Coturnix japonica: one gene and its partners. Each later gene encodes a partner of the first gene's protein in a complex. Links are inferred from orthologs where the notes say so. Each region holds a gene or a part of one and is shown in the gene's direction. Other genes may lie near its edges.

What was found.
Region 2: SNRPD3 (region 1) and SF3B5 share a complex: the UniProt entries of both Homo sapiens proteins name them as parts of the minor spliceosome. The link is inferred for Coturnix japonica from reciprocal best matches to the Homo sapiens genes SNRPD3 and SF3B5.
Region 3: SNRPD3 (region 1) and STRAP share a complex: the UniProt entries of both Homo sapiens proteins name them as parts of the SMN-Sm complex. The link is inferred for Coturnix japonica from reciprocal best matches to the Homo sapiens genes SNRPD3 and STRAP.

Annotation. Positions count from the first base shown.
Region 1 is NC_029530.1:7,447,994-7,451,750, reverse strand, and holds the start of SNRPD3 (small nuclear ribonucleoprotein Sm D3), read left to right. Parts: upstream 1-969; 5' UTR 970-1,086; intron 1,087-1,364; 5' UTR 1,365-1,388; coding exon 1,389-1,514; intron 1,515-2,199; coding exon 2,200-2,389; intron 2,390-3,292; coding exon 3,293-3,354; 3' UTR 3,355-3,757. Other genes in the region: protein GUCD1, read right to left, coding at 754-964. UniProt on the Homo sapiens protein: Plays a role in pre-mRNA splicing as a core component of the spliceosomal U1, U2, U4 and U5 small nuclear ribonucleoproteins (snRNPs), the building blocks of the spliceosome.
Region 2 is NC_029518.1:41,251,591-41,254,142, reverse strand, and holds SF3B5 (splicing factor 3B subunit 5), read left to right. Parts: upstream 1-1,403; 5' UTR 1,404-1,456; coding exon 1,457-1,717; 3' UTR 1,718-1,939; downstream 1,940-2,552. UniProt on the Homo sapiens protein: Component of the 17S U2 SnRNP complex of the spliceosome, a large ribonucleoprotein complex that removes introns from transcribed pre-mRNAs.
Region 3 is NC_029516.1:57,773,541-57,777,095, forward strand, and holds the end of STRAP (serine-threonine kinase receptor-associated protein), read left to right. Parts: coding exon 1-27; intron 28-722; coding exon 723-872; intron 873-1,433; coding exon 1,434-1,499; intron 1,500-1,988; coding exon 1,989-2,050; 3' UTR 2,051-2,927; downstream 2,928-3,555. UniProt on the Homo sapiens protein: The SMN complex catalyzes the assembly of small nuclear ribonucleoproteins (snRNPs), the building blocks of the spliceosome, and thereby plays an important role in the splicing of cellular pre-mRNAs.

The DNA of each region.
Region 1 (3,757 bases):
GGCAGTAGTAGTGGTTTCAGTTTCAGCAAAGCCCAGATTGCTTGATGGACTGAAGTGCTTCCGCTTGGCATTGTAACTTCAAAGACAATCCAAGTGAGTTAATCATAAAAGGCTTTTCTTAATGACTTTACCTTCGATCTGGTACAGACCCTTGGAAACCTTTGCTAACACAGAGTCAGCTCTGCTTTCAGATGGGGATAAAAAGCATTCAGCATCCTGGGGGCTGCTGCAGTTTCAACACAGCTTTATATGTAAAACTTTATGGACAATGTCTTGCAGTTTTAAACTGTTTTCTCACTGAGTTACGGCTTATTGCAGCAACAACGCGGTGCACTTTCTCAATCACGTCACTGGGTTTAATCATAACTTTGAAAGCTGGCACACACCCATTGGTGTACTCAGTGTTTGTTAGCAATGTTGATTATACTTTAGAAGGACAAACAGCCCCTCAAATCCCGCTTGAAGGAAGTAATGTAAGCATTGGCGGTGTGTTATGAGCTGTGTTATGAGCAGGTCCATTCTCTGTTACCATCCAGGGCCTTCTAACACCACAACTCACTGTGGATGTCCCTGTTCTCCATACACTATGACTTCAAAGGTAACAACCAGGCCCAGCGCTGCCCGCTTCTCATCCCCACCCCCAACAGAGCTGTCACGGCCCGACCCGCGGCTGTAAACAAGGCGGAGCACTCTCAGCTCCACCAAGTGCTTGACAGGCCGCCCCCGATCCGAGGCCCCGGAGCTGTCACTGACCTGCCTGCGGAGGGGGCTCCCCCGGCTCCCGGGGGCTCCTCATGACGGCGGCCGCCCGCTCACTACCCGCCCCGCCGGACTTAGGGCCGCGCCATGCCCTGCTGCGGCGACGGCTCCTCCCGGCTGCGGAGGGGGCGGACCCCGAAGCGGCTGCTCGGAGCTGGGAGGGAGGGAGCTGCCTTCGGGAGGAACAAAAGTGCAGCGGAACCATCGTGATAAGGCAGCGAGACCCTGAGGGACAGGAGCAGTAGCAGGATCCGCTCCTGTGCCCTTCCGATTCCGGGGCTCTGTGCACGGCGGGAAGGCGGCGGCCATTAGGGTGGTTGGTGGGAGGTGAGTGTCGGTGGGGGTTTGTTATAGGGTCGGTTTGTTATGGGGTGGGTCTGTTGTGGGGGTTTGTTATGTGCCTGCAGCTTCGTAGGGCGGCAGATGTGGGCTGAGAGGGTGGGCTGCCCTCAGCCTTGGGCCGGGCCTTGGGATAGGCGTGTATTGCCAAAGCACTGAGGCCTTTGTTCAATGGAGCAAATCGGCTCCTGTAGGCAAAGCCGAACTGCAGAACGACTGGGAGTTTGTTTCCTTTATTCACTTCTATGTTGTGCTCTCTGTCCCAGGAGTAGAGCCGCAGTGTTGCAGCCATGTCCATCGGGGTGCCCATTAAAGTCCTGCACGAGGCAGAGGGCCACATTGTGACCTGCGAGACCAACACTGGGGAGGTGTATCGTGGGAAGCTCATTGAGGCTGAGGACAACATGAATTGCCAGGTAAAAGAAGTTTATCTCATCTGTTTGGAAGTGGTTGCACTCAGCAGACTGACAGCGGGATTTAAAGACCTTTTACTTTTAGTCTTAGGATAAATAAAGCCCTTTTACTCTGTGCACTTACAGTAATGAAGTGAATTCCAGATTACTGAGCACACCAAATTGCTCAGAATTGGGATTTCCTGTTCCTGGTTCCTCTGTGAGCACCTTCTCTTCAGCAGTTCTTTGTTTATTGCCTGTTGATAATAAATAAACTCTAATTTATGAGCTTAGAGCTGTGCTTAATGCAGAGGACTTTAAGGCATTGCAATAGCCTTAATTTTGATAACTTCATGCAAGTTGTAGTTGAAATAAAAATGTCCTTAATAGCTGGGACCAGTAAAACTTTATTTAAACTATCTGAATAAGAAAACAAAACTAATAAAACTAATTAAGCAAGTGGGGAGGAGGGGAAAATAGTGAGTTTGCTTAAATTTTAGCAAGCTTTAAGACTGTGTTTAAATGGTTATAGATGCCTTATATAACAATAACAGTTGAAGGCTGTATGCTTGATAGGGCTTTGAGTTTATTACTTGAATCTTGGCTATATATATATTCCATGAGCAGGAGTAGTGGGAGTACAAAACTATGTTTAAGGCCACTTAAAACAAACTGTGTTTGAGACCACTGTCTGATCTTTACTTTCCAGATGTCCAACATAACAGTGACATACAGGGATGGGCGAGTGGCGCAGCTTGAGCAGGTGTACAGAGGCAGCAAGATACGGTTTCTCATTTTACCAGATATGCTGAAGAACGCTCCTATGCTAAAGAGCATGAAGAATAAGAACCAGGGCTCTGGAGCTGGCCGAGGAAAAGCAGCTATTCTCAAAGCTCAGGGTGGGTACAGTGTGTTTGTGGTCTGGTGTTCCCTCTTTACCTTCCTGTTTTGCTGTACAGAAACTGAGATGTTTTCATCCCTAACACTAAGCAAAGATGAGCTGTAAGAAGCTGAATGAGTGACAGCAGTCAAAACTCAGACTGATGCACAATACTGATACTGCAGATAGTTCAGGAACAGTAAGTGGCCTTGCTAGAGTTAGGTAAAACTTCACCTTTGGTTTTCTGTAAATGTGGTTGCTGCCTGTTTGGATTACCCAAAGTATGATGATCTAAGTATTCTTAAGCTTAAAAAATATATATTTATATATATATTTATATATATATATATATATATTTATACATACATATATATATACACACACACACACATATACGTACACTTGGTTGATACTTTAAGTTTTTTAAATGAGTAACTGTTAGCCATTCTGCAGTTCATCCTCTTTAATACCTTTTTTGTGTGAACAGTCTCGTTATAACAAGATCAAGAAATAATCATGGGCTCTGAAGCCCTTGGTTAACTCTACCAAATGCAGTAAGGATGTGTGGGGGAGTAACATCTGACAAAATATAGCGAGTTCTGTCACGCTGTATGAAGAGCAGGAGGTCTTAAATCTCTCTGGCTACAGATTCACACAATTTAAAGTAGGAACAATGGTGTGTTACTATTTCATTGCTCTTAATGCATACTCTGTTATGAATAGCAAAGCTGTGTAGTTGTTAGTTACAGTTGTTTTCACAGAAAACTTCTATTTACTTTTATCACTTCCCAGGCCTCATACTGTAGCTTAACTTCTGTGCTTCTAAGGAAGAGACTGAGAGTTATTGATGTTTGGTTTGTCACTTGTTGAGATAAATGTGTTGCATCAAATTCATGTCATCCCTGATGTTTTCTTTCTTCAGTGGCTGCAAGAGGAAGAGGCCGTGGTATGGGTCGTGGCAACATCTTCCAGAAGCGAAGATAATTTTGGTCTTGACCAAAATGCTTTTTTTTTATTATTATTATTAAAGGGGCTCTTAACTTGTCTACATATATGTTGGTAACTTCTGTTTAATAAATGTTTCTGACAAAACCCTGTCTGCTGTTATATGACAGAGCTCCTCTTAGGCACAATAGAGTTCTGGCTTCTTTCTGTAGCTGGCAAATACGTTGGAGGTGGATTTCAAAGTGCGTTGTCTAGAAAACAGTGGACATGGATTTGATTTCTTTGTACTTTTGTGTGATGCATTGAGTTTCAAAGATCATCTTGCTTCCTTTTTGTTCAATACTGCTGTAATTTACCCTCTAAAGAGTTAGAAGTTATTCTTCATGAAGAATTTTTAATGTTGTTTTAAGGTTGTGTTATCACCTGCATTTACAGAGCAAAC
Region 2 (2,552 bases), on another chromosome or scaffold:
AATACGTTAATTTATTGTCCTTATTTAATTTCTCTCACAAGAGATCTTCATTCATTTTAGGCTACCACAACTTCCAACAATTTTTTTGCACTATTGTACTTGCAGAATAAATGAATATGGTTAAGAATAGAGGAATTTCTTAAATATATATATATGTATATATATATATATAAATGACACCCTTCATTTCATCACCTGTGTGGGCTTTTATTGCAGTTATCGTTTAAAGTAATCCTTTCCCCTTTTTGGAGGGGCAGCTATGTCTTTTTCATTCAAAGAGCCTACAGGAAACGTGAAAACACGGCTATACCTTGAAGGGGACAGTCACTACCACCCTCTATTGGTGCATCTGCCTCATCTACTCTGTTCCTTTTGATCTTGCAGCAGAAACCCACAGCTCCCGTGCAATGAGTACGGAGTCGGTACAGCTCTGACACCCAGCGGCCACTTCACTCTCGACCGGCTCCTGAATTCCAGACAGTTTCAAACTCGGCTTTGACTGATTGTTGCTTAGAAGATAGATAGTTTAGGGTATTATATTGTTTTATTGTTTTGACACTGCTTTGCATGGCCTTGGCTTCATAAGATGCTCATTTATGAAGAAGCGGCCTTGAATCATCTGGATTAGATTTCCGTGGGTTTCTTTGGACTATACAGCATTTACAAAGAAATAGCTTGAAGCATCCTCTCAGAAAATTGCTGGCTACGTGTCTTTCCTATTTAAAAGCAAATAATTAAAGTCAGCACTCCCATGTGACAGCATGTATTGTTCCACACTTATTAAATTTAACATGGATTTTAAAACTAGAGAAGAAAAACTGCTTATTTGATGAATAATAGAATGTATTTCATTCCCAACTTTGACCAAGTTTGATAGGTGATACAAATTATAATTTACAAGTTTTATATCTGATTATTCTATGATCAAGAAAGACTACTTATTTGATGAATCATAGAATGTATTTCAGTCCCAACGTTGACCAAGTTTGATAGGTGATACTAATTATAAGTTTTCTATCTGCTCATGAGTTTAATATCCACATGAAATATTACCCACATCAACAAAAGAAAAATAATTTCCAATGGTAACATTTGATCCTAGCTTAAACATAGCCCTTGTGCCTGCCCAGCTGCAAAGTTTGCCTTTGCCCACAGAATCATTAAGGTTGGAAAAGACCACTAAGGTCAAGTCCATCCATCAGCCCATCCCTGCTGTATCACTATGTCCCTCAGTGCCACGTTCAATTGGCTCTTGGACACCTCCATGGTCCAACATGTCCAATCTAGGACTACACCCCCCGACATGCCTTTATAAACCCGCATATTCTTCCCCCCCCCCCCCCTCATCCGGGATAGTCGGCGAAATCCCCCCCGCTCTCCGTTATGGGAGCGGAAAAGGATCCCTTCGTCCTGTGGCGTCATTTCCTGCCGCCATTTGACTTGCAGGGGCAGCGCCATGACGGACCGCTACACCATCCACAGCCAGTTGGAGCACCTCCAGTCCAAGTACATCGGGACGGGCCACGCCGATACCACCAAGTGGGAGTGGCTGGTCAACCAGCACCGCGACTCGTACTGCTCCTACATGGGCCACTTCGACCTGCTCAACTACTTCGCCATCGCCGAGAATGAGAGCAAGGCTCGCGTCCGCTTCAACCTGATGGAGAAGATGCTGCAGCCGTGCGGGCCGCCCGCCGACAAGCCCGACGAATCCTAACCCGTTGCCCTGCACACCGGCTCCGGGCTGGCTGTGACTCCACACGCCGCGGGGAGATGGTGGGAGCCGCCCCGATCCTCGTGTCCACCGAAGGGAGCTGCAGGGAGAAGGAAGCTCTGTGTAACGCCCTCTCTTGGACACTTTCGTTACGCTCAGTTGCACGGCTGTTCGCCCTTTGTGGTTTTTTTTTAATGGGAAATAAAATCCGCTGTCTGTTTCTAACGTGTTGTGTGGTAATCAACAATAGCAGGACACGGGGAAATGGTTTTAAGTTAAAAGAGGGAAGATTTAGGTTGGATGTTTGGGGGAAGTTTTATTCCTAATGGAAAATGTCAAAGTAAAGCCTGGCTAAGGTTGTATGTGAGTTTACCAGTGGCTTTTTTGAAGTTGGTGACCTCAGAATTTCTGAGCAATAAACGCCTCATACTCTTTACCAAGCCTTATAATCTAAGCTGCTGAAGATGCTGCAGTAAGAACAAGTGCATGCACTCCTGAGGTCACATTCAAGCCATAATATCCATCTGAAGAACTCAGGAATAGATTTTGTTGTTGCATGTACTACAATGAGGGCAAAGATGAAATGATCCTGAATCAAATGTAACCTGCTACATATGTGGGGACTAGTGCTGTTTGCAAGCCATTGTAAACAATGTGAGCAACAAGTGTAAGGCACATGGGCAGAGCTGAACGCCTCCTTCCTCCAGGCCATCTCTATTATATGAGCAAGGCTGCTTTCAGGGAGAAGTCTGAGTTTTGGCTGAGAAATTTGGCTTTCCACTGTGATCTCCATCTCATTTTCCTAAATTTATGTAGTTTAATCTCAGATAAAGTGAAG
Region 3 (3,555 bases), on another chromosome or scaffold:
ATGACTATAACACAGGAGAAGAATTAGGTATGTTTGACTTCAATAATAAAAAACAAGTTTTGACAAGTATTAGATAGATGATGTAGCAGCTAATGAATTAAACTTGTAGAGCATGCTGTGCTGCGAACTTATTTGAGTACAAGATAATGGAAAGGTATGTAGTCAGTTAAGAGGATTTGTCCTTTGATAGTATACCTGATGTTACTCTTGAAGATCTAATTAAAACCTCCACTAAACAGCTCTGCAGCTACTGGGGGGGGGGAGGGAAAATGTTGAGTCATCCCATGCTGCTGCAATAGCAAACTATATGTTAACTTAAATGTCGTACTGTGGCATTCATTAATTATGTCTAATGAGTCACAGTTACTGGATTGTATTTTAATGCTAGCCATGTAAAATTTATTTTAAAGTGTGTTTTAATCTGTTGCTCCTATCTTCATTTAAAATTACGTAGATGAATGCTCAGTAAGCAGCTGAAGAATGTTGGCTTGTTTTGTAATTTTGCCTGTAATAATGAAATGCTTATCTTCTTGCATCTAATTCAGATAACAGTAACGCTTTATTGAAAGTTGTGGGGATAGCAATTATTAGAAATATTGTTTTGTATCAAAAATAAAGTACTAGGGAAGTTCCCCCGATCCATTTTTTCTTCTCCTTCTAATCAGTTTTCACTCATTTATTTGTGCTGTTGAAATTATTGGCCTCAATATGTTCTCTTACAGAATCTTACAAAGGGCACTTTGGTCCAATTCACTGTGTGAGATTTAGCCCTGACGGGGAATTATATGCCAGTGGCTCAGAGGATGGCACACTAAGGCTGTGGCAGACAACAGTAGGAAAAACCTATGGTCTTTGGAAGTGTGTAGTTCCTGGTAAGTGTGTGTTTTTTGTTTTTCCTGGTTTTACTTGGCTGTTTCATTCAGAAATCTTAACAGTTTGAATTCAGTTTCAAACATCATCTGAACTTGTTACGGTATCTCTGCTGTCATTTGGTATCTTCATAGCCACTCAGGTCTGCTGGATTTAAGGTTTTACTTCTGTAGCTGTCACTTAAGCAATTTAAATGTGAGCTTAATGAATATAGGCACTTGGTAACAAATTGCTTGTGTAGTCTCAAATCTTCATGTTATAGAGCAAGAAGTATGAAATAATTTTGTGAATACTTAGGATATAAGAATTTGGTGGGGAGGGGAGTATATAAAATTTCTCTGTACTTTCTCTAGTATTTTTGGGGGGAAGGAGCTCAGGGGGAAGCAGTACTTAGAAAACTGCAAACGAGTAATAGTTGATAGAATTGGTAACCCAGCTTTTTCTCCTCAACACTAAACAACTGAGGTTCTTGGTTTTTTTTCTGGGTTTTCAGAGTGAAACCCAATTTTCACTCTGGTTTGAGCAGAAGTGAAGGGACTAACCATTTCTTTTCTTCTCTACAGAAGAGGAGAATGCAGAAGCAGCAAAAGCAAGGACCAGCCTTCCAGGAACTGCAGAGGAGGAAATAGGTAAAACATTGAACTGCCAGCTTCTTTAGCAGGGAAGAGTTAACTTTTACCAAGTACCTTCAGGCATTTTTCATTCCTTGAAAGATCTTTGAGCGTGTTTTGACACTTAGCACACAGTTTCCTAGAAAAATACTGACTTGAGCTGTGTGATCTTCATCATCATCATAGTCTCATAGTCTCGTGCGGGTAGGAAGGGACCTTAGAGATCATCGAGTCCAACCCCCGAGATTTGAGTTTCTGTGTAGCACAGTGGCACTTCTACCACTTGCGCCACAGGGGGGATTCGAACCCGGGCCACAGTGTTGCAAAGCAGCATTCCTACCTCTGAGCACACTTGCAAACTTCCTACCGGGGCACACTTGCAAACTTAACAGATATGGTAGAACCTGAATTGGGTTAAATGGAAAAGAAAACTAAGCTGGTCACTGCACATAACTGCAGCATTCTTTGGTTCATGTACATAAATTGATTATCTCTATTTCATTGCAGAAGAAGTTGCCTCTGAAAACTCAGATTCAGTGTACAGCTCAACTCCTGAAGTCAAGGCGTGATTATCTCAACTGTTATGCAACGTATGGACATACAAGACTAAATCAAGTGAGCAGTGATAAACAGCAGCCTTCCAGAGTGCACTCTCTACATAAGGCAAAGATGGGCAGTAATTGACGAGAATGCAGTGGAACTGGCTAGGTGTTGTCTGTAAGAGAACTGAGTATCCAAAAAAAAGACAAATAGTAGAGTTTTGCTATCTTTTTAGCATGACTGTCTACTGTCTTTTGAAAGAAGTGTGCAAGCCAAGATCCAGTCTCTCCAATTTCAATTAGACTCATTGTAGTGCGTTTTTCTTTATTACGGAGAAAGAAAAAAAAATATGGCTTTTACCCATTATTTTTTTTTTTCCCTTTAAAGTTGGAAGATTTGGCTTTAGTTGAAAAGAGGATTATGTACTAAAAGTATTCAGTTTTTGTTTCATTGTACACTGCTTCTGAATGTTTAACTGTTTTCAGTTATCTAAATAAAATGCCTCTCAAAACTCTTAGCTTTACTGTTTAGCATTGGGTTCATGGAATGGAAAAGCAGCCAAGTTAAAGGTATAATACTTTCTAGCATCTGTTTTTGTATTATACAGAGGGAAAGCAATAAGAATGTTTTAGTGTTTGGTCTAGAGAGTGGCAAGTTTCTTGATATGTAAGCCTTGCACATTTTACTCTTTAACTTTTGAATGTAAAAGTGAGTCTCTAAATCAAAAGCATTGAGGACTCCTAAACTAAATGTACTGACTGAAATATGGGGCTGTACATGAAAATCTCAGAGGTTGGCTGAGTTTGTAAAGAACCTTGGGTTTAGTTCTGTAGACTGGATAAAAAAAAAGTTACACACGCAAGGTCAAAACCCATACTTTCATCATTAAAGAGAATATTGCCATTCTTCTGCTTGTCACTGTTCCTTTAATTTTAATGCTGAAAGACTTAAATAAGTTGCTTTTTTTGGAAAGGAAAGGTAATATATAAACACATGTTCATATACTTCCCTGATTTTTTTTTCATGTTAAGACTTGTCCTTAATCTGACTCTTTCCCCAGTGGCATCCAGTAATGTTAGAAGAAAGCTTACGCTTAATGTTTGAAAACCTTACTATAAATTGAAACCGAGGTTCCTATGTCTATGCGTATATATAAAGTCCAAGCATAAAAAAAAAACCCACTTTCTCAGTGAGGGCAGCAAAATGCTGGAAGGGGTTGGTTGCCTGCAAAGGCTGTAGAGGCTTTGGTGTTGAAGATGCACAGAAGCCACCTGGACATGGCTCCAGGGAGCCTGCTGCAGCTGAGCCTGCCTGCATTGGGGGCCTGGACTTAGTCTTTGAAGCTTGCTTCCAGTCTTAATTTCTTCTGTGGAAGTGGGAGGAATAAACAAGGAAAATAAAGAAGGATAAAATTAGTATTGATTTCTTGGTATACAGTGGTAATATTAAAAAATGAACAATAAAGTAACTCCAAAATTAATTTTTGAATAATCTATTCATGTTTTTGACCCAAAAACAAGTGCCTCTCTCATTG